Drosophila melanogaster: one gene and its partners. The protein of the gene in region 2 interacts with the protein of the main gene of each other region in a pairwise test. Each region holds a gene or a part of one and is shown on either strand. Other genes may lie near its edges.

What was found.
Region 1: the proteins of CG5111 (region 2) and kat-60L1 interact in a two-hybrid assay, tested with the Drosophila melanogaster proteins (one large-scale study listed by BioGRID).
Region 3: the proteins of CG5111 (region 2) and TwdlE interact in a two-hybrid assay, tested with the Drosophila melanogaster proteins (one large-scale study listed by BioGRID).
Region 4: the proteins of CG5111 (region 2) and gus interact in a two-hybrid assay, tested with the Drosophila melanogaster proteins (one large-scale study listed by BioGRID).

Annotation. Positions count from the first base shown.
Region 1 is NT_033777.3:5,781,174-5,788,028, reverse strand, and holds kat-60L1 (katanin p60-like 1), read right to left. Parts: upstream 4,925-6,855; 5' UTR 4,813-4,924; coding exon 4,499-4,812; intron 2,917-4,498; coding exon 2,648-2,916; intron 2,600-2,647; coding exon 1,962-2,599; intron 1,765-1,961; coding exon 1,290-1,764; intron 1,235-1,289; coding exon 909-1,234; 3' UTR 564-908; downstream 1-563. Other genes in the region: Hat1 (histone acetyltransferase 1), read left to right, coding at 1-560.
Region 2 is NT_033777.3:25,504,337-25,508,859, reverse strand, and holds CG5111 (uncharacterized protein), read right to left. Parts: upstream 2,586-4,523; 5' UTR 2,497-2,585; coding exon 652-2,496; 3' UTR 581-651; downstream 1-580. Other genes in the region: CG5107 (uncharacterized protein), read right to left, coding at 2,942-3,520, 3,581-3,643.
Region 3 is NT_033779.5:7,857,325-7,862,442, forward strand, and holds TwdlE (TweedleE), read right to left. Parts: upstream 3,516-5,118; 5' UTR 3,377-3,515; coding exon 3,359-3,376; intron 3,278-3,358; coding exon 3,057-3,277; intron 2,797-3,056; exon of another isoform or gene 1,601-2,796; coding exon 1,246-1,600; 3' UTR 633-1,245; downstream 1-632.
Region 4 is NT_033778.4:5,125,312-5,130,414, forward strand, and holds the start of gus (gustavus), read right to left. Parts: upstream 3,011-5,103; 5' UTR 2,915-3,010; intron 2,213-2,914; exon of another isoform or gene 2,092-2,212; intron 2,032-2,091; exon of another isoform or gene 1,938-2,031; intron 1-1,937. UniProt on the Drosophila melanogaster protein: Involved in the localization of vas to the posterior pole of the oocyte. Required maternally in the germ line for efficient primordial germ cell formation.

The DNA of each region.
Region 1 (6,855 bases), about 20 Mb from region 2:
ACAAGAGGCCCAGGATAAGCCAGATGCTGATACTGCCGCCTTTCCAGAAACTCGGCTTGGCTACCCAATTGGTCGAGAGCATTTACAGGTTTTATCAGTCACAGAAGAATGTTGTGGACATAACAGTGGAGGATCCATCTGAGGATTTCCAGCGTTTGAGGAATTTTGTGGACGCGCGATCTTGCATGAAATTGAAGTCGTTTGCACCAGGCGAGATAGTCAAGGGCTTCAACAAGGAGATGGTGCGGGAAGCTCGCGAGGCTCTGAAACTCAATCCCCTCCAGGTGCGTAAGGTGTACGAGCTTTTGCGTTTATTCTACACCAATGTGAAGGATGAAAAGGAGTACCGACCCTATCGTCTGGAAGTTAAGAAACGGCTTAACGCGGTCTATTACAAGCAGTTAAAGGATTTGAAGAAAATGGAGCGCTTCAAGATGGACACTGAAATGCTGCGTGCTCGCCTGCCAACGGTTCAACAACGAATGGAGCAGCTGCATGAGGAATACCGCGTGGTCGAGCAGGAGTACCAGAGCACCATTGCCAAGTTGAGGGCCTCGTAGGTTCTGTGGATCCAAAAGGTGTTGATTAATTTATTTCGTTTCTCTGTTTTCAAATATGTTGATTACAAAATACATTATGTTGCTATAAGCCTACAGTAGGATTCCTTTGAATAAATATTACAAATTAAATATATATATATATATTATGTATTTATAAGATATCAGATTACCGTGTGCACGTACATAGAGGAGCAATGCTGGGCGTGGGGCACTTGAGCAATTAAGCGTATATAAAACAAAACATTACGGCTAACGAGTACGATTTATACAGGTTACAAATAATTGTGATCGGGAAGTACACATGGGATACGATCATTATCGAGGGTGCTGGGCCAGCAGCCCGTACAACTAGCACGACCCGTATTCCTCCATCCACTTTTCGAAGCGGGCAACGTCATCGGCAGAGACGGACTTCTTGGTGCGCAGACGGGCGTCCTGGAAGTCCTGCAAAGTAATCGGCTGGTCAACCTCCTCGCGTCGGATTTGCTTAATCTGATCGGGAGTGCGTCCGGAAATGAGGCGCCGCATGGCCATCATGGAGGCGTCCCGGCACACGTTGCTTATGTCCGATCCCGAGTAGCCCTGCAGTTCGTCGCCGATTATTCCGGTGTTCAGACTGGGCGACAGGCATACGTCCTTCAGGCAGAGCTTGAGGAGAGCCGATCGGGTGCCCTCTGGAGCATAATATTACTATTATTTACTGCAGGAAAGGAAGTGGCTCGCACTTACCGTTTGGGAGAGGAATATAGATTCGCTTTTCAAAACGTCTCCGGAAAGCCTCATCGATGTCCCACGGGTGATTGGTGGCCGCCAGCACCATGATCACCTTCTCCTCCTGCATGCTTGCGTTGAGTCCGTCCATTTGGATGAGCAGCTCGGCCTTGAACCGCCGACTGGCCTCGTGCTCCGAGTCACTGCCCCTGGAGGCGCATAGGGCGTCTATCTCGTCGATGAAAATGGTGCTGGGCGCATAAAATCGGGCCATCTCGAACAGGAGACGCACCAGCTTCTCGCTCTCTCCTCGGTATTTCGAGGTCAGGGTCGAGGAGGACACGTTGAAGAAGGTGGTTCCACATTCTGTGGCCACCGCCTTGGCCAGCATGGTTTTGCCTGTTCCCGGCGGACCGACCATCAACACTCCACGCCACGGCCGGCGGATTCCCTTGAAGAACTCCGGCATGATTACCGGAAGCACCACTGCTTCCTATTTGGGTAAAAAAAAGATGTACATACATATGAAGTTAGCTACTTTTAATTTAGGTCTTCTGCACGCCTCTGAGGTGCACTTTTATATTTGTGGACCTCAATTTTAAACCTATTCTAGTCATAGATGTCACAGATATATATATTTTACTAGTATGGGTGCATATCGGAAGTTCCGATTCAGAACATAAAGCTCACCTGGAGTATTGTCTTGGCCTCATTGAGCCCAGCCACATCGGTCCACTTGATGCACGGATGGCGCTGCAGAATGTCCTTCTCCAGGGTGTCCACCAGATGAACCTCGTAGCCCAAGGGCGAGAAGTGCTTGGCCTTGGTCTTCGGTGAGCATTTGGGCGTGTTGTGGCTGGTGGCTAGGGACTGGGCGTGCGAGTTGTCTTCCAGGGATGTGGTGGCGTCTTGGTCATCCGAGTTGGAGTTTTCGTCCAGCGAGTTCTTCTTAACCGGCTTGTGCTTCAAGTTAAGCTGGGTGTTTGTGCTGAGCTTCCTGGCCCGCAGGCGCTCCACGGATCGGCTCTTCCGCAAGGCGGCGGTCATGGCGGATGCCCTTGCTGGTCGCCCCAGGCGCATTGTGCCCATGCTGGCGGCGGGTGTAGGTGCTCCTGCGCCCGCCAATCCCACGTTCCCAGCACTTCCGTGGTGGCTCTGGCTGAGGCTGCTGCTGTTCGCATTGCTGTTGATGGAGGGTAAAGTGGGCTGCAGCTCGGGATCCCGCCGACGCAGGGAGGACACCCACCGATTATCCTGCTGCTGCGACGGAAATGGCATTTGGGCCGTCTGACTGGCTCGCGGTTGTGGTGCCACTTCTGCGGCGGAAACTGCATTTTAATGATTATATAGGAAACCCCGCCACCCGGAGCACCAACCTTGCGTGGGTAGCCGCTGCTTGCTGCGCAACGGAACACTTCCGCCAATGCCCAATCCCCCAGGTGCATTAGAGCCCAGGTTGTTGACGGGCCGGTGGCGCTCTGCTGTCGAGGAGTGGCCGCCTTCCGAGCTCTTCTTCAAGCTGGCGTTCCGGGAAGGTCGACTGGTGGCCGTGATCTTCGTGAAGCCAAATGGGGATAGCGAGTCGAGGATCAGGGAGTCCATCATCCGGGCCATGTGCGACAGGCTTGTCGGAGGTGTGGAAGAGCTGGAGAAGGAAAGGGTATTCATTGATTGCTCTTACCCAGTAGAAGATCTAAATATTATAACAGGAAAGAGGAATCGATAATAGGCCTTGTCCTATAATAACATAATATGATCAATGCCATTAGTGCCAAACCCAAATATTTTCGTATTTAATTAGGTATTTTGAGATGTATCTTTAAGATGTTATTGTCAATTCTATCTTTATCTTTTGGGAGAAAGTTTTGGGAAACTATACTATACGAATCTAATGAAGCCACTTAAGGATTCCCAAACTATCTCATTACAACTCCTTATCTGTAAAAAACATAACATATAACTGATAAGGATATAATTAAGAGCCACCAAACAACGCAAAACCAAAACCCATGGGCTCATTTTTAAAACTCATAGCTAACTACCCATAACTATTAGGTGGCTCCATGGAGCTGCCATTCAACTTGGCCATGTCGCAAAGGTCATTTGCTTTATCAGCCGCGGACAAGTGGCTCGCGTGTCCTGGTGTGTGCACACACATATACCGGTTGGAATCCTCGTGTCTAGCCGCCTAATATTAGTTAGCCCTTGCGGAGGACCCTCCCATCCTGCCCTGTCCTACCCTACCCTGCCACTCCGCAGACAATGCTCGGGAATTTCCGGGAAACGAAGAGTTAGTGGCGCCTCCCATGGGGGCGCCTATTCAAACCGCAGGTGGGGTCAATAAACTCGTTGGCTCCTGGCCAGGTTATTGACGTGTCGGCGACAATTGTTAACTTTTGTATTCGCATTTGAATTGTATTTTCGACGTGTTTTCGACTTTGCATGCGTCATCTGGAGGCATTAAAGGCTTTGAGAGCATTCCGGCGGCAACAATGTAAATCTCGATCTGCAAAGTGGGCCGCAATATATTTTACGCCTGGCTAATTAAGTTGGCAGCAGCACAGCCATAATTCCCGACCATATTGCCTGACTCCTGGCACATTCGCTTGGTATTTATATTGCGGGCTGTACTCGTTCGAATTTGGGTTAATGTTTCCTTCATGTGCTCGCCCACGATTTCTTTGATTCTCGGCTCCTGATTCCTGATGGGAATGATTAGTGGAGCGGTTAACTAGGCCACTGCCTATTTGTTCCCATTACTATGCACAAATCAATGGGCCATAATCTAGGAATTACTTGCATTTGAACTGAGCAATTGATTGATTGGCAAAGTGTTACAAGGCCGGATTGAGCGTGGAAAAACCCCGGCATGGGAAAGTCCAGTGATGGCGGATTTCCTTGGACTCGTAGTTATGATGGGCCACTTGAAATCGTGTCACCAAGGGGTGCTTATGCTAATCCCATTGGCACAACACAAGACATTTCGTACTATGCAAATTACAGCAAAATGCCAATTATGACTGGCAGAAATATACTCGCGAAAGGAAACTGGATGGGGTCAAGAAGGTACCCGGTGGCTTTCTTGTATGCAACAAAGGAAATACTTTGGGTTGATAGTTGACCAACCAACGAGCTAGTTACCAACTGCCAGGTCAAGGAATTCAAATGCGGAAGTAATCCAATTTATAGTGGATTTCTTGTGCCCACAGATCTCTACTAGCTCTTACCATTGGTGCAGATCCCAGAGCGAGTGGTATGGAGTGTGCCGGTAGGTGGGAACGAAGGGTACCGCCACCTCGTACTCAACCTGGACGTTGGGCGGCGACTGGGGCCGCGTGGCCAAGGCGTTTGAACGCCCCAGGACGGGATTGGAGCTGGTCAGCGATCGCTGGCGCATGAAGGAATGTTGCGCCGCCGCCGCCTGCTGCTGCTGCTGATTGTAGAGACTCGAATTGTTGTTGAGCAACTGGGCCACTCCGCCGCTCGGATCCACGGCTGTCTGGCCCATGCCGAACCAATTCTGTGCACTGGTGTTGAACATGGCGCTGTGCCGGCGTCACACAGATTAGGACGAGACACAGACACTTCACTATTAATTTAAAAACACACGCGGATATGTTCGGGCGGAAACTTTGCTACCTGACAGTCTGCGCCTGGAGCCTTCGATTGGCTCGCACTCGGAGTTCGAAAACGCGACCCGACCAGCCGACTCGAGGGTTGCAGTCCAACTGAAACTGACCGCTTGACTGGACGACGCGTCCACAACAAACCGACCACCACTACCATTCCGGTATGGAACGGACCGGACCGGGTAGTTTTCCCAGTTGCCTGGTGTGCGTCCGTGTGAATGCGGATTGAGGTTAAAGGAAGTTTCGCTTGGGCGCTACTTTGGGGGGCGGTTTCAATCATGGTAAATTACGGGGAAAGAGTATCTCGACTTGGGGGAAAATAAAGAAATCGCCGATCGGAGCTAGGAAATGCCATCTTTCTAAATATTGATTGAAATTCAAATATATGGATTTCAGTTTAATGGGTTTATGTTTGTTCTGCTTATATGCTCCTTGTATATAGCTATTGATAGGTAAAAAAAAGAATATATACAATATATAAATAAATGAAATATATAATATTTCTACTAATGTCTAGTTGCTTATCGAAGTTTCCTCATTGTCTAAAGGACATTCGTGCTTCTATGTAAGCCCACAGCACTCTCAACTCCTCGGGTTACCCAACGCGCTGGACTGTGGTCAATGCACGCTAGCTTCTGGCTCAAGATTTCATCGATTTCTGGGGAAAGCAAGGCGTTCACTCACTCGCGTATGCCCGACTATTTACTCAAACGGCAGTGGTTTCCCAATAATCTGCCGGCAATGTAATTTAATGGCAGGCTTGCATGCGGCCAAAGAAAGCCGGTTCTTGAGTTGGCCTCCCCCGAGGACCCAGAAACTATAGCATACGTTTGAGAGCACCGCCATTAGGAGGCTTGAAGTGGTTCGTCCACATTTCAATGTGCATGTAGGCAGAACCCGATAATCCGGAGGTGAGCCACAAGCGAAGGCCGTTTCGGATGCGCGCACACACATATAGTATCTGTATATGTATCTAAAAATCAGCTGCAGCGCGAGATAAAAATCGATTGCGGGGCGACAGTCATGGAACGCTCAAGTGTCTCGGCACGCCTTGCGCCTCCAACTGGCACCCACCCTTTTGGACCTTTGCCGTTGCGAAGCACTCACCCCGCAGGACTCATCACGGGCAGGTATGTGGAAGTGGAGTCCACGGTGCGTATGGTGGTGTTCCCTCGCAGCACAATCTTCTCGCGCGTGGTGCGCCTATAGGTCGCCTCCTCGACCCGCATTTTGCTCCACCAGTCGTTTATTATTTAAATTTAGTGCGAGTAATTTCGTAATTTTGAATTTTTCACAATTTTTTTTCCTTAGTTTTCGTGTTTACTTCGGTCCGAAATGGTGTGTTGGAAAATTCGGCATCCGTTCTTCGCACAGGCAATGTACAAATGGAAAATTAAGAGAGCGGGCGGAGCAGGGAGAAAAGGATGCTGCGGAAAAGCTTTGGCTCTCCGCCACAGCTTTTTCTCTCTCTGTCTCAGCTTCCTGGCTCTCCGTCGCCAATTGTAAACAATTGCGCAATGCTCGCCTGCTGTTGCTCCTCCACTCGCCTCGATGCACAAATGGTCACTAAAACTGGATTGTTGTGGCCAATTCGGCCTGCCAGCCGCATTGCAACGGCCTGTGGGGTTGTGTTGGATTGTATTGCTTTGGGCGAAGGTCCTTATTTGGTGGTGTTTTTCAAGAAATAAAGCTTGAGAACTTGTATTTGCCTCTTTAAAGTTATGATAAATATTGTAGATGAGCATATAAACATTAAGTGACTTAATAGGTATACTTATCAAAATTTGTTTTAAATCAACCGCAATAAAATGCTATGTTTAACCCACTCAGAAGAACAAATATATATGCATCTTTATTGATCGATTTTTAAAAAACTACTTAAAAATTCGAATAATAAATTACGATTTAAAAAACATCATTACATTAAAATTCAATTCTCAGTTTAGTTTGGCGAC
Region 2 (4,523 bases):
TGTCAGCCACTCAAAATGTGTGCGCCATTTCGCATATATAATAAATCAACGTAAACCGAAAAAAAAAAAACACGAAATGAAGAAAGAAATGGAAGAGTGAAATAAGCTGAGCGGAGTTTATTTTAGGTTTAACGATTTGGAAATAACGCCACAAAACAGGACGACAAATTATTTGGCCATCATCTGCAGAACTTTCGCATGGCATTGGCAGATTGGCGAGAGGGTCTGAAAACTTATTAATTTTCACAAAGTCAGCCACACGCAAAGAGCACGCGCACACACACACATACACAAAATTGTGAAAAACTGTGACGTTATGCACATGAGTGAGCAAATAGCAGCAGCCACATCAGCAACCAAAATGCATAGCATACTTTGCTGGGCAATAAGTATTTGAGTTTTTGAAGGGACGCACTATAAGCTGGATTTTTTTTATTTTTTTTTTATTTAATTGACTAGCTGTTATGTTATTAATTTTGGCCACAAAAAGGTACCATTCAGACTATAGTGGAATGGCTGTGAAATGAAATGGTAACATGGTGAGAAAAGATGTTAAAAATATAACAAAGCAACAATAAATATTTGTACGTACTTATTTATTGCCTGTTTTTTGATTTACAAATATTTAAAAAAAATCTTATTTTTTTCTTATTAGCCCTCGAGCAAACGTTTATACTCGATCAGAATTTGCTCCTCCTGATCCAAGGGCAAGTTTAAGTAGTGGTTGTTGTTCTCGGCGAGGTTCTCGTTGAATCTCTTGAAGGCATTGTAAGACTCAATCTCCGACTTGGCCTCGCTAAGGACAGTCTGGAGCAAGTTCACCTTGCTGTTGGATAAGTTTACGAGTGGGGTGGTGCTATTTGCAGTCGCATTAGTTGAGCTCGTAGGTTCTTGAACCTCCAAAACTTTTGTCATGGTTTCAATAACATGAAGTAATTCCGATTCGTTGGGGAAACTTTTCAATAGAAATTTCAGAGATTTATGGAAACTGTTGCCCGTAGTTTCCAAAGCATCTCGAGCGGAAATCTCCGAAAATCCAAGGTGCTGTAGAGTAGTAAGTAACGATTCATCGACAGGAGGAATGGGCGGCAGATTGGCCCTAAGTTCATCTGAATGACGCTGCAGTAGATCCAAACTGCGATCGAGATTATTTTTGGTCCTCTTCAGAGCCTCCACAACCAAACGCCTTTCGTAGCCCATTTCCATGAGCCTAATAATGCTGCGTGGATTGACCCATTCTCCTCCTTGACCGGCGAAAATCATCTCTTGGTTGACTTGCCTCTCGGCAGCCGAGTTCTTTCGCTCCTCACTGATTCTCTCGCTGCGTTCCTGGATATATTGAATGGCCCTATCCACTTGGCCCGCACAGGATCTCAAGGCCAACCTGGCATCCGATTCCTCATAGCCCATTTCAACGAGAGTGCTTAGCTCAGTGTCATTCATCTTGACCTCATACAAGTCCTTTGTCGCCACCTCCAGTTTTTCGTAGGCCTCATCCCGGCGATTTTGGTGAAAGAGGAGCACACCTTGGAGCAGGTGCAGTCTCATGATCAAAGCTCTTTCCGGGCTACTTGGACCCTTAATCGAGAACAATCGAATGAACTGCTCGCCATAGCTCTTGACAAAGCCCCTCTCGCAAATATCCAAACGTCGCTGTGCATCTGGCAGTTGGGTGATGTTCTTCAGGCGCAGATAGCACCAAACAATATCTAGATTGATTAAGGCATAGTTATCCACTCCTTCCAGGAGCTTTGAGTCACATTGGGAGAAGAGTTCATCGGCCTCGAGTAGGATGAGTAGAGCCTCATCGAAGTTCTCCTTATGCATGGCAACTCTGGCCACTTCGTACATGCTCATGGCCATCAATAGGGATCGATTTTCCTCGCGTGGCAAGAAAATTGGACGTCCATCCTGATCCTCCATTTCCATAAAGCGATCTGCATCCGCAACTAACTCCAAGTCCGCACGAATCCTTTGGATACGTTCGTGCAACTCCTGACCTTCATTAGTTCCACCCACAACCACCATGAGGTGCTGATTGGTTTTGAGCCCCTGCGAGGCCAGTGTCTTCTGCCCATTGATGATGCGTCCTCCGGAGATGCATTTCACATGACTGGAATCAACGATATCCAACTTCTTGGCCACCTCAGCTTGCAGATCCGAGCCCAGTCCACCCAGCGAACACTTGATCTCCAGCATTTGCACGGTGCCACCCTTGCTGTCCACACACCGCACATTGAACGTGGCCAATCCGGTGTCATTGAACTCTCGGCGAGCCGCCAGCTTCCGCAAGGCACCATCTTGCAATTCGCCCAAGGCAATTCTGCAGTCCGACACACTGATGCCCAGTTCGCCACTGATGTCCCTGGCCAGGCGGTCCATCTCCGACTCGATGCTGCCCACCTCCTCGAAGTAGTACGGCTCCTCCCACAACTTGATATCACGCTCCCGCAGACGAGCTCGCAGCTTAATGAATATATTGTTTATCTGGGACATGTTTCGTGCTGTCGTGCCCGAATCGAACTAAATAATTTCTAAATTTATGACGAACATTTTCAACTCTGACAGTGCTCTTTCAGTGTTACCTTAACATCTGTTTTTGCTAAATGCTAAAAAATGCTAAATTATTATAAATTCAGAGACGTAAGTTAAATCCCTTTAATTGCAATTTATAATTAATTACAATTAATTTTCCATATCAGTATAAAGCTGTTCAAGAACCCTCTCTAGATACCGATTGTATTTATTAACGAATCTTAATCGAATCGCTTCAGTTCGGCTCATAGTTGGAAATTGAAGTTATCTTATCATAATGAAACAAAATTTATTTTCAATCAAATCACTATATTATTGTTCATAGGTTGTTGGGAACAAAGGCTCGAGAATTGAAATCTAATCTGCTGTAAGCTTAAGAGTTTTTTATTTTTTAATAATAATATATTTACATAGACTCGATGCAGACATCAATGTTGGGCAGAAAAGAGTTAAAGGACGCTGTAACTTTATTGGTGGCATTTACGAAGCAGGAACTGGTATCGGCTGGCAATTTGGCAATCAGTTTTAGGGTTTTATTGATCTTTCGGGTCAGCCTCATGGATGCCTTGAACAATTTCCAGAAGCATTTGGCCGAGTTTTTGATGGACGAGCCCACGGACTTATCCGTGGCACAAAGTTTCGAATGCAGATGCAAAATATCGTCGCAGATTTTGATAATCTCCTTAACGGAGTCCACAATCTTGGCCACATCCTTGGGAATGGCAGTGCCACAGGCATCAATAGCATCCACATAGCTGGTGCATGAACTAAGGATGTTTGTCACCTCCTTGATAATACAGTTGGTGCCTCGAACCGTTTTCAATGCCTTGCGAAGGATTTTAAGGCATGTTCTAATAAAGCCCTGTGCCTCCACATCCATGTAGTCAGTGTCATTGTCCAGTTCATCCAGCAACTGCTCCAATTCCGATTCAAAGTCGAAATCATAGTCGAAGTTCTCGTTCTCCAGCAATTCTATTGCATTGGCCTGAAACAAAGAAATATTTATTATATTTAAGTTAATTTTTTTTTAATTGGCAAATCTTACCCGCGTGGTCAGCAGACAGGTGGCCGAAACCAGAACCAAAAGGCAAACGGTGATGGCTTTCATTTTACTGTCCAATTAATAATATTTTCTCGGCCAGTAGTGAAGATCAGTTTATATACCCGCTGAAAACTACGTCTTATCAGAAATTAATCGAATTGCCCACTCCAACTATCTAATACCTTTTTTTTATACGGCTATCATCTAGAAATGTGTAATCAATCTACCTACCTCAAAAGTACTTATATGTATCTATCTATCAGCACTTATCAGCCACTTAAGATACTTAAAATATACATTTTCGATCGGTTAATTTTCATATTGCTCAATTGAAGTGTTTTAAATGAATACAAATCTGAAATGATTAATTAATTTTCCCATTTAAATGCAAACGAAATGTACGCTCTAAAAATGTCGAATATTTTTCTTGTGGCAATTATCACACAATATCCGTTGATGTCAGTGCGAAATTCACTTGGGCACCCTTAAGAATCGAGGCTCAGAACGAATTAAAAGCCATAAACCGCAGACAAAGAGGAAAAGAACCACAATTGAATGGTGGCTGCCACCAGATTTTCCGGGCACAATAGACGGCAAAAGGAAAAAAATTTGTTGCCATTGTCAGCTTAACGCGCTCGGTTCACTTTGTTCGGGTTATAAATGGTAACGTGTGGTTAAGGGTTAATAACTCCCACTAGGGGTGTGTGGAAAATAAGACACTGCCACCAGGTCCAAGACATTTCCAACATACAAAAGAAAGTTTCCGGCTACCCGCGACAACAGCAAGTGTGGCTGCTAATGAAAAGTGTCGTAAAAGTCTGTAGTAATATCGTTTGTAAGGGTGTTCGGGTGGTCTGTCATTAGGTTAGCTGGGGTCTTTCCAATTTTCCCGGGATGGGATGGCAATATCTCTCCGGGTAATAAAGTAGCTGACTGAGTTCTTTAG
Region 3 (5,118 bases), on a different chromosome or scaffold from region 2:
TTGAAAGCCAGAAGACATCGCTAACGGAATCGTGGAAGAAGATCATTGCAGAGGATATCGAGAACAGAACCAATAGGTCAGAACTTAAGATGGAGGGTCAACTATCTGACCTACAGGAAGCATTGACTAGTATAACGACGTCGCTGAAGAATATGTCTGCGAAAATAAATATTTTACATAGGTTCAAGCGAATCGGATCGAGATATTTGCACATCGAAGACATAGTCCAACAAAATTGGACCAGTGCTTTGAGCGCATGTCAAAAGATGGGAGGTAATCTAGCCTCAATTATAAATGAAGCAGACTTTAATGCTATCGTTTCGCAACTAAGCAAAGACAACACTTATATGATTGGCATTAGTGATCTGGCTGAAAAGGGCGTTTTCATATCTGTGTCCTCCGGAAAGAGAGCACCTTTTTTGAAATGGAATCCTGGAGAGCCACTATACGAACATGTAGATCAGCGTTGCGTTTCTATACATAACGGTGGCATGTGGGTTGCTTCTTGTACTTCTGATTTCAAATACATTTGCGAGGCAAATGAAAATGTATAGTAAACAGATATATATAAATATATGTACACATATGTTAAGACTTGCAATGTGAAACATACAAAAAGAAATCCATCTTGTACAGATAATTCGTTAAACTTTTATTTAGCCATTGATGTTTTGTGTTTTTAACATTATATACTTGAGTATCATTTTAATCTTCATTTTTTTTTGTTGCATTTCGAGTGCTTCGCACATTCTATTTAATGACAAATCGTGTGCGAAATGTGCAATATGAAATTGGAATAAATTGCCTACTTGAAAATGCGTTTGTGATGAAAATCATGTACCACGTATATATCGTTAATCGGTATCAGGATCGATATCTCTATCGATAACTAAGGCTAGCTCGCAGTGAGTGTTTCGAGTGTTTTGTGTGAGTGTATAACGCATCGTTCGCTTAAAGACCTAGACTTAAGACTAAACAAACAATTTGAAACAAACAGCCTAGATGGAAAACATACTTCTCGTACATCAGGTAGAAACAACATCAGAGATAAGAATTACTCATCTATAGGAGTAATAATCCTATGAGCTGGGTGTGGAGAGGGGATGGGGGAGATTCGTTGCTTGGTAAACTTTGTCACGCGTTAAGGTCCTTGAAACAGAAAATAATACAATACACATAAGATATGCAGTTTGCCATGAGTTGGGTTGAGATAAGCAAATCGGTATTCGGGTTGGACTGGATCGCCTAGTGGGATGGTGCCCCATACGAGCTGCTGGGAGCAGAGGGTGCGGGCGGGGCAGCTGGAGCTCCGTACTCGGGCGCTGGAGGCGCCACACTGTTGGGATAGGGTCCGGTCTCCTCCTTCTGGGTCTTGTAGCGGATGAAGTACACCTCCGGCTTGCTGGGTTGGGTGGGAGCTGGCGTTGGGATAATGATCTCCGGCTGCTCCTCCGGCTTCTTGACTAGCACGTACACCAGGGTCTTCTCTTCGTTCTGTGGGAACTGCGGTATTACAGGGGCGGTCGGTACTGGTGGAGATGGCGCCTTGATGAAGACGATCTTGTAGTGCTTCTGCGGAGGTGGCACGTAAAGGGGTTTCCTGGGAAAATATTTAAAAATGTATTTAAATAAAGGTTCTGCTATATCTGTATTTAAGGAATTTCTTAGGAATTCTATGGGTAAAGTAAGACACCACATCCTCATATAACGCAACTTTTTTTGCTTCCGGCTTGTAAAAATTTACATACTGAATAAAAAAATTTCAATTACACACGGCCAGGCTGGAATGACTTTCCACACTTCCTATAACCTTGCCTTGTTGAACGAACAAATACCGCGATGCGGGAGAAAGGAGTTTCTCTTTGAGGTGCATGCAAATGGCATGCCCATAAATGGTGACCTCCCGAAAATGGTGACCTCCCGACAACGTTGAACCCACTGCAGCTGCTTGTCAGTTTTACTAATCAGATGAAGATGATGACTATTGTGACGATGACAGCGATTGTCACAACAACCGCCTCGAGACGAGGGTTTACATAAAGCTACCTATGGTAATCGAGTTCCTGTCCCTCTGCGCCTGATAATTTGCTTGGAAATGGTACTGAGATATATACGAGTACAAGTGCTGCGGCGAGCTTAGGTAACGTTTTAGTCACGGTTTGGCGGTCTGCAAAGCCATATCATTCCCCTCTCGTGGTAATTAACATCGCTTCCAACTCCAATTGAAAACAGACAGAAGACGACAGAAAACATTGTATCAGCGAAAAGAGAGGAAAGTTGGATGGCTTTCGTTTTCGCGGGTATTAAATAATGTTCCTCCTCCGTTTAAGCGACCCTCTAAATACCCTGGAAATGTGGCAACAGCTGTGGAAAAGGGCCCTGAGCTGGATTAGATGATTGCCGGCTGGTCTCTTGCAACATTTGTCTAGTTATTATCTTTGGGAGTTGACGGCACTGCCTGGTTTACGCCGATGAATTGTGAGAGAATCTGCATAAGTGCCTTGGATTATATACTCATAACACAACAATGTGTTTTTTCCCCATATTTTTCCAATCTTAAGTGGAACAAGACAAATAAAGCGAGATCGTTTGTAACCGCTCACAATCACGCAAGTCGAAAAAAAAGTGTGCTGGATAAGGGGTGTGAATAATTTGAACTGATTACGTTGTGAAATGAAAAAAACCGCAGGATGTACGTTTATATTGTACGGCTTATCAGAAGAAATTCTCGATTGTTCACTCACTCACTGTGTTGGGAGTGTAGTGCGATTTCTATTTTGTGAAACTATGCAAAATAAATAATTTTACTATTACTTAAACTCTTAAATACGTATCTTTTGTGATTAAACTGAATGTGTCTAAAATAACATTTTTAAAGATTTTTTCCATTTTTAGGTCTGATATAATTATCATCTAGTATAGACAAAAATTTTAAACGAGTATGCATAGATCCTTTTCCGGAACTTGGTTGAAGAATAGGTTTATTGGGAACCCTATTCTACTCGCGATCTTTGGAACTTATGTTGGCTTAGAGGATCCTTGATCCTGCCACTCACCTGGGTGCCTGGTATTCCGGCTCTGGTGGAGGTACATGGACGTAGACGTGCTTGTGAATCACCGGCGCCTGCTGGGGAGGTCCGTACTGGGGCGCAGGGGCGCCGTAGCCTCCGCTGGGTCCACTTGGCTGGTAGCTGCTGGAGGGGGGCGCACTGTACGAGTCACGAGGCGGCTCTGGACGAGCGGCCACCAGGGCAGCCAGGGCCATGAGGACCACTAACTGCGAACGAGATCGGAGGAGAACACACCATTAAGCGATGTCCATCACGGCCACTTGGTCGGTTTGGTCACAAGATCATACCACACAACTGGAATGCATTTTCGGGTGGCTTATTTCGGGTATATCCGTTTCGGGTTTTGTCACTGCTCCAGGTGGCTAGGTGCTACTGGCTGTTACTGGTTACTGGTTACTGGCAATGTGGTGCTGCTTCGACGCGGAACCTCTTACTGCATGCCACAACGATTGTTGCAGTTTCTTTTATAGCAGCGCAGCGCGTGAAATAAAAATTAAGTAAAATTCAAGACGACGATCAAGACCGCTGCTGCTTTAGCCGCCTCAGCTGCCTCAGCTGCTGCCGCAGTCGACCGAGCAGTCGGCCAAGTTGGCTGAGCAGTTGGCAAAGAGCGGCAGCAGCATGTAGCCATGAAGAAATTGAAATGTTTAAGCCAAGTCCAAAGTTTGGCCAGTCATGATCTGGTGGGGAAACTGAGGCTGCAGCTCCTGGCTGCGATGCAAACGGCGACCGCAAAGCCAACCGAAACTGCAACGTCTGCTGACCGTTTCTTGGCTTTGGCTTTCCTCCTTCGATTAACTACTTCTTTTTCGTGGTTTTTCGAGCATGTGGTTGGTTGTTTTTTTTTTTCTGTTTTTCTGCCCAACTAGGATTATTTTCATGGGGAAAATAAGGAACCTGAAAGGTGCAGTGTATGTATGTAAAATAAAGCTTGAGGCAGCAAGGCCATCAAATAGTTTTTTATGGTTTTTATTTCTGAAGACACTTAGCTGCTGGAATGTAGCTTATTTCAAGGGTCCATTATTTTCAAGGCAAGAAAATAAAAGCCTTTTTTGCGGTAACCTCAGCTTTAACGATTTCCTGCTTAATTTAAGAATATCTGAGAATATCTGTTCTCTTATTATTAATTTATCACGCCTTTTGTTCTTTTATCATTAAAAGAAAATGCCTCTCTTAGCTTAGATAGTTTAATTATTAAAGGCAAGTCATATTTTGTAATATTTAATTTATAAATATGTCTTGTGCATTTTTTTCCCTCGCCCATTTAAAACATTTGTATAGATTCGCTGTAGAGTACAACTCCTTCGAACTGATTGCCAAAGAAACATGGTTTTTCCTAAAATCTCTGATTTCTGTTATTTATATATAAATATATATATATATGTGCTTTATTATATATATGTAGCTAATGTGTGTAAATTGTTATTTTGGTCATTTAGAGGATCCAATCGCAGTGGACTCGTAACCAAGTCTGGACTCTGGATCGGATCGTGTGGCACGATTCACTTTCAATTTCAATGAATGTGGATTCACTCTCATTTAGCCAGCCGTTTTGGGGAATGGGTTGGTATAGTATGGTATGGTATGGTTTGGGATCAGATGGGATGGGGCTAAGCTTTGTTTTGTGCTCTGGAGTGGGACTGAATCTGGTGTTGGTTTTATTTCATTTCTTCATGCTCTTTCGGCCTTTTGTTAGCCAGCTTCTTTCGGTGTTTTGGGTTGTGTTGTGTGTTGGCTTGAGTTGACTTGGCCTGGCTTGTTGTTATTATTATTGTTACTGTTATTGTTATTGTTTTACTGGCTATGTTGCTTTTGTAATTGCTGTCCGCGTTTTGGACACGAAGCTTCATAATGAGCTTCACGCTCTTGTTGGGTCGACCCATCTGTACAGGCATTTTATTTAATTTTTCTCCTCTGGTTTTTTTGTTTTTGCAATATTTTGAATTTCTTCAATTTGTTTTTTTTTTTATCTCTGGCAAGTTTTAGTGTTGTTTTTGGGTTGCTTTTCTTATTTAATAATTTACGCCCCGGCCATGACAATTAGCGT
Region 4 (5,103 bases), on a different chromosome or scaffold from region 2:
TTCGTGTTTTATATAAACTGTTTTTCCAATGCTTTCAAACTTAAGAATCGAATATAAGCAAATTTGAATATTTATTACTTATGGTAGTACATTATGAAGATATATTTTTTTACTAATGTGAAAACATACTAGCAATACTGTATATATATATATATATATATATATATAGTATTATATTAATCATATAATAATCAGAACAATCACAGATTATCAAGACAACCAGGAATCCGATATTTAGATGCGAGGCAAGAAGATATTTCAAAACTTAGTTAGCGTATCGATCGATTTCAAGTAAAAGGAAAATCGAAAAAAAAAAATTTCGACATAAAAGCTATTTAAAGCGTGCCAACCACTTTTATTCGTATCATTCCTAAAGCTTGTACAGCTAGTTGTCTTATTGAATTCCTTATTGTTTTGATTTCACAGACCGAGTTAAAGCAAAGACAATAGAATTACAAGATGCGTAACGGCCATTCATTGGTTTTGCACTATGCAGCCACTTTTTTGTTGACGGTCAAAATTGCTCTCTCTCCGCTTGAGTAAAATTGAGAGCGGTATAAAATCGAAAAAAATAATACACTTGCTTGTGTGTGCTAAAAGAATAAACGAGAAAGCAAAGACACTAGAATAACTAGCGTCTTTGGAGAATGTTTGTATGTGTGCGTACTTGTGCTAGAAGACGATTTTCGGGCAGAAATCAATTTTGATCTAAGATCCGATATAACATATTTAGAGTTTCGGGCAATTTCGTTGCAAAATGATCTACTCAAATAATATTTAAACATGTATGCCTTGACTATTAGATTTTTAAAGTGTTTCATATAAATGTTTCATATCTTAATTTGTGTTTATAATTAATAATATGTAAAACGGGACTGACGACATCTTTTGCGACATCAATTTTTAAAGTTGCAATGTGAAATATTTAAAAAAAAAATTACATTTCAAAAAATAAATTTCTAAATAATAATAAAAACATACATACATACATTAAACACATAAAGAAAACGTAGAGTTTCTTGACAGTCTCAAAATTCTTTTCTTTATATTTAATATTTATAATTTGTTTTTTGATTTATAAGTAAAACAAAAATATATTTCATAAAAAAATAGCGTTTGAACATTTTTACCTTTAAGGTCAAAAATTCAACTTATTTCACAGTGTGTAAACAGTTTCTTGACAAACTGTATATACAATATATAAAAATACGTTGACTGTTTATTGCAAAAATGATTTCTTGAGACACGAAGTGCGAACATAAGCACCCAACAATCATTGTCTCCTTTATTCTTACGCATACAGTGACAGCCGAAGAGGGCAGCTGGCTGTATATCTTTCCGCACTCTGGCTCTTAAACAAACATTCGAGAGAGCCTGGAGCCATCTCTAGAGCCAGCACCAAAAAATCGAGAGAAAAACAAAACAGAATGCTGTAGTCGAACGTAAAATTGCATACATTTTTTGGGATATCGATAGATAAAGATAAAATAAAAAGGATTTAAAAATGGTTTAAAAGTGTGGGCGTGACCGTTTTGTTGGTAAAAGGGGAGGCGTGGTTACGGTGTTTTTGGTATACCGATAAAAAATTGGCAAGACAAACAAAAATGAAAAAAAATCTAAACATTTTTTTAAAGTGTGGGCGTGACAGTTTGGGGAAGTTTTAGGGCGTTAGATTAGGCGTGGCAAAAAGTTTTTTGGCATATCGATACAAATTTACAAGACTAATTAAATTATTGAAAAATATCCAGAAATTTGTTCAAAAATGTGGGCGTGGCAGTTTTTGGCGGTTTAAGGGCGTTAGAAATTTTTTTTTTGTAAATCGATAGAAATTTACAAGACTAAAAAAAATGTGAAAAAATATCAACACATTTTTTAAAAGTGTGGGCTTGACAGTTTTGTGTGGTGTGTGGGCGTTAGAGTTTGCGTGGCAACATGGGTCACAAACTTGCGCTGCGTCTATGTTTTTAGAATCTGTATGCTGAATCTCAACATTTTGGCTGATCTTGATGCTGATATGGACAGACGGACATGGTCAGATTGTCTCGATCAAGAATATATGTATTTACATATGTTTGTATATACTTTATATAGTCGGAAACGCTTCCTTCCTCCTGCTACATAGTTTTCAACGGATCTAGGAACCCTGTTACTCTACGGGTATAACGAGTATAACAAATAGCGTATAGTCTGAATGACTAAAGGATGTAGTGAAGTAAGTTAAAGTAAACTTTACATTGTGTGAATTAACAATATGCTAGTGTAAAAGCGGCTTGCGCCGCCTTCATTGAGTTAAGCCTGCATATTACCTTTTAAAAGAAAAGTAGTGATGCAGTCTTGGTTTAAATGTAATTTTTATACTAACCAAAATTTCGTATTGATTCAACTTTACTGTTAAAGTTAATAGAAAATAAATGAAAAGTTGCTACAGCACCGACGAACTATTCATAAAAAAAAAATTCGAAAATCATATAACTGAAGCAAGCCCATGGCCAGATCGACTTGTCTAGTAATCCTGATCAATAATATAGTTATTTATATACATATGCTTAAATACTTTATGCATTAGGGAAACGCTTCCTTCCCTATAATATATTCTCCAACAAATCTTTAAGATTGTATGCAATTACGTATGTATGTATTTTTGGTGATATCAGATTCACTCCTAATTAATATTCTTATAGTGTTTTTGTACGCTCATACAAATTCAATCCAAGGAGATTGAATACATGAAGTTCAATATGTACAGATAAGTTTTCACATATAATTATTTTTATCACATATCTCAAATTTTTATCTGATTAACGTTTATAAATATGAACATACATATGTTCTTACATTCCATATTTATAATTAATTGATCAATTCCCACGTTAGATATGTGTGAATTTCATTTATCAGTTCCTGTGAAACTTACATTACTTTTATCTTGTCGATTTGCTATGATTAAAATAAAACAACACATAAAGCAAAATATCACTCAGGAACCTTTGATGCACAAAACATTCATTTGTTTGTATATCCACTTATACCGTACATCAACAGTGTTGTGACATGTAACGATTTTTGTCATGTGCGGAATGAGTGGGATTTTGGAAAAGACTAATAATTTCTTCGAAATTATATAATTTAATTTAACTTCAAAGACCGAAGTTTGGTAAAGACTTTCTAAGTCAAGCCGTTTCAAGATTTAGCACAACATAATGTAAATTAAACAAATTTTAAAATCTTTTTAAATGAAGTTATTCATTTTATCACCATATTACAATTTTTTAAATTAAAGGTATCTGATTGACCCCATGCGTAAAAGTAACTTGATAAGTTTACAATTGCAAATTTTTGGTTTACCCAAACCAAAAAACTGTAATAATTCATAAAAACAATTATCTGTCTCGCTTGTTTTTACGGTATGACAGGCACATTTTACCTACTGTCGCATTACGCCTAAACTGCCAAACAATTTTTCATTTTATTAATATTTATGCCAAAAGCTGGCATTAGCTGAATAACGGGTAAATAAAAAAATATAAATATAAAATAACTAAAACAGTTTATTTTACTCGGCGTTATTAATTGAAAACCGGGTTCTCCTTACCGAATACGGCTCGTTCAAAGAATAATAAAGAATAATTAGATGCTTAACTGCCATATATTGTTTTTGCAGGTTGCACTTTTTTTGATGACATCCGATTGTTTATTGCGACTCCGCGCGGCAATGTGCTTCCTTCTACATTCTTGGCTTTGACTTTACGCGACTGAACTGCCTCTCAGTTCGTTCAACGTATGATACGATAATATACTGTTATTCTACCGCTCGTTTTACATACGCTTACAAATGGTAATATTGTACCTAATTTCAACAACTGTCCTTAATGTTACCATTTTTCAATTAATTTCTCAAAAATTTACACAACATTTCTCATGTATAAGTTTTGACAAAATCTTTTTTACATGTCGGCTATTATTAAACATATCGTTCAAAATCGCTACACAAAACTCGTCTTTTCATTGCTCAAAAACAGCTAATAAACAATAATTTGCAACAAGCTCGCAAAGCTGTTTAAAGCTTTAACACTTCAATTAAGTAGCACTCCGGCATAGGACGTCGCTGCCCCCTCTTGGGCGAGCTATCTGGCTGGACTTCTATTCTATGTTTACTACGATAATAGATAGCCATCCTGAACTAACAAACATAGAAAAGTTGCAGCATCTAAGAACATGTCTGAGGGACACTGCACTTGAAATATCGGATGGCAACTATGCTATAGCATTGAATTTGTCTGTTTGTTTAATATTCCAGGCACACATTACTGAGATTCTAGGGCAAGGGCAGTTCAGAATGGTTCCGTTTCAATGCTTTGTAAACTGTGTGATAAATTCAACGCTCATATTCGCGCGCTAAATGGAATGGGCTCAACGACACAAATCGTTGGATGAATTATCGCCCAAGTACTTATCCAAAAGCTGGATCCGGAAAGTCTGGCGAAATGGGAGCAGCATTTGGAGAACCAGTCTTAAAGAATTCAATTCCAACATGGCATCGTTTCTGGAGCAGTGTTGCAGGACGCAGCCGTAACAAGCTATGCGTCAGTCAACCAGGTGCAAAGTAGCAGAACATCTGATTTGTGTAGGTCTGTCCTTCTTGCCTCAAGCCTCAGCCCTGCGACCTGTGAGTTCTGCAATGTTTCTGGTCACTAAATTCATTAATGTAGAGCTTGAAAAACCTGACCACCGCTAATAGATTCATAGAAGCGAAAATCTTCGCATTTTAATAAATTGCTTTAGGACCGGAAATAAAATGAGGTAGGCAACTCCGATAAAAAGTTTAAGAAAAATGTTTTGTTTTCTTTTTTATCTCAAAATTCTATTTAATTAAATACGGGTACAATGCTTTTTTCTAGGATATCTTTTCCATTAATAAAATAATAATCTTCTTTAATAACATACTTTTACTGCTATATGACATAGTGTTCAAATTTCAATCCAATGAATTTAATATAAAATATATAAATAACAAGAGATAAGAGTAAAAATAGTTCCAAAGTGTAGGCGTGACCGGTACGGTAGTTTTGTCTCTAGAATCTTTACGCTGAATCTCAACATTCT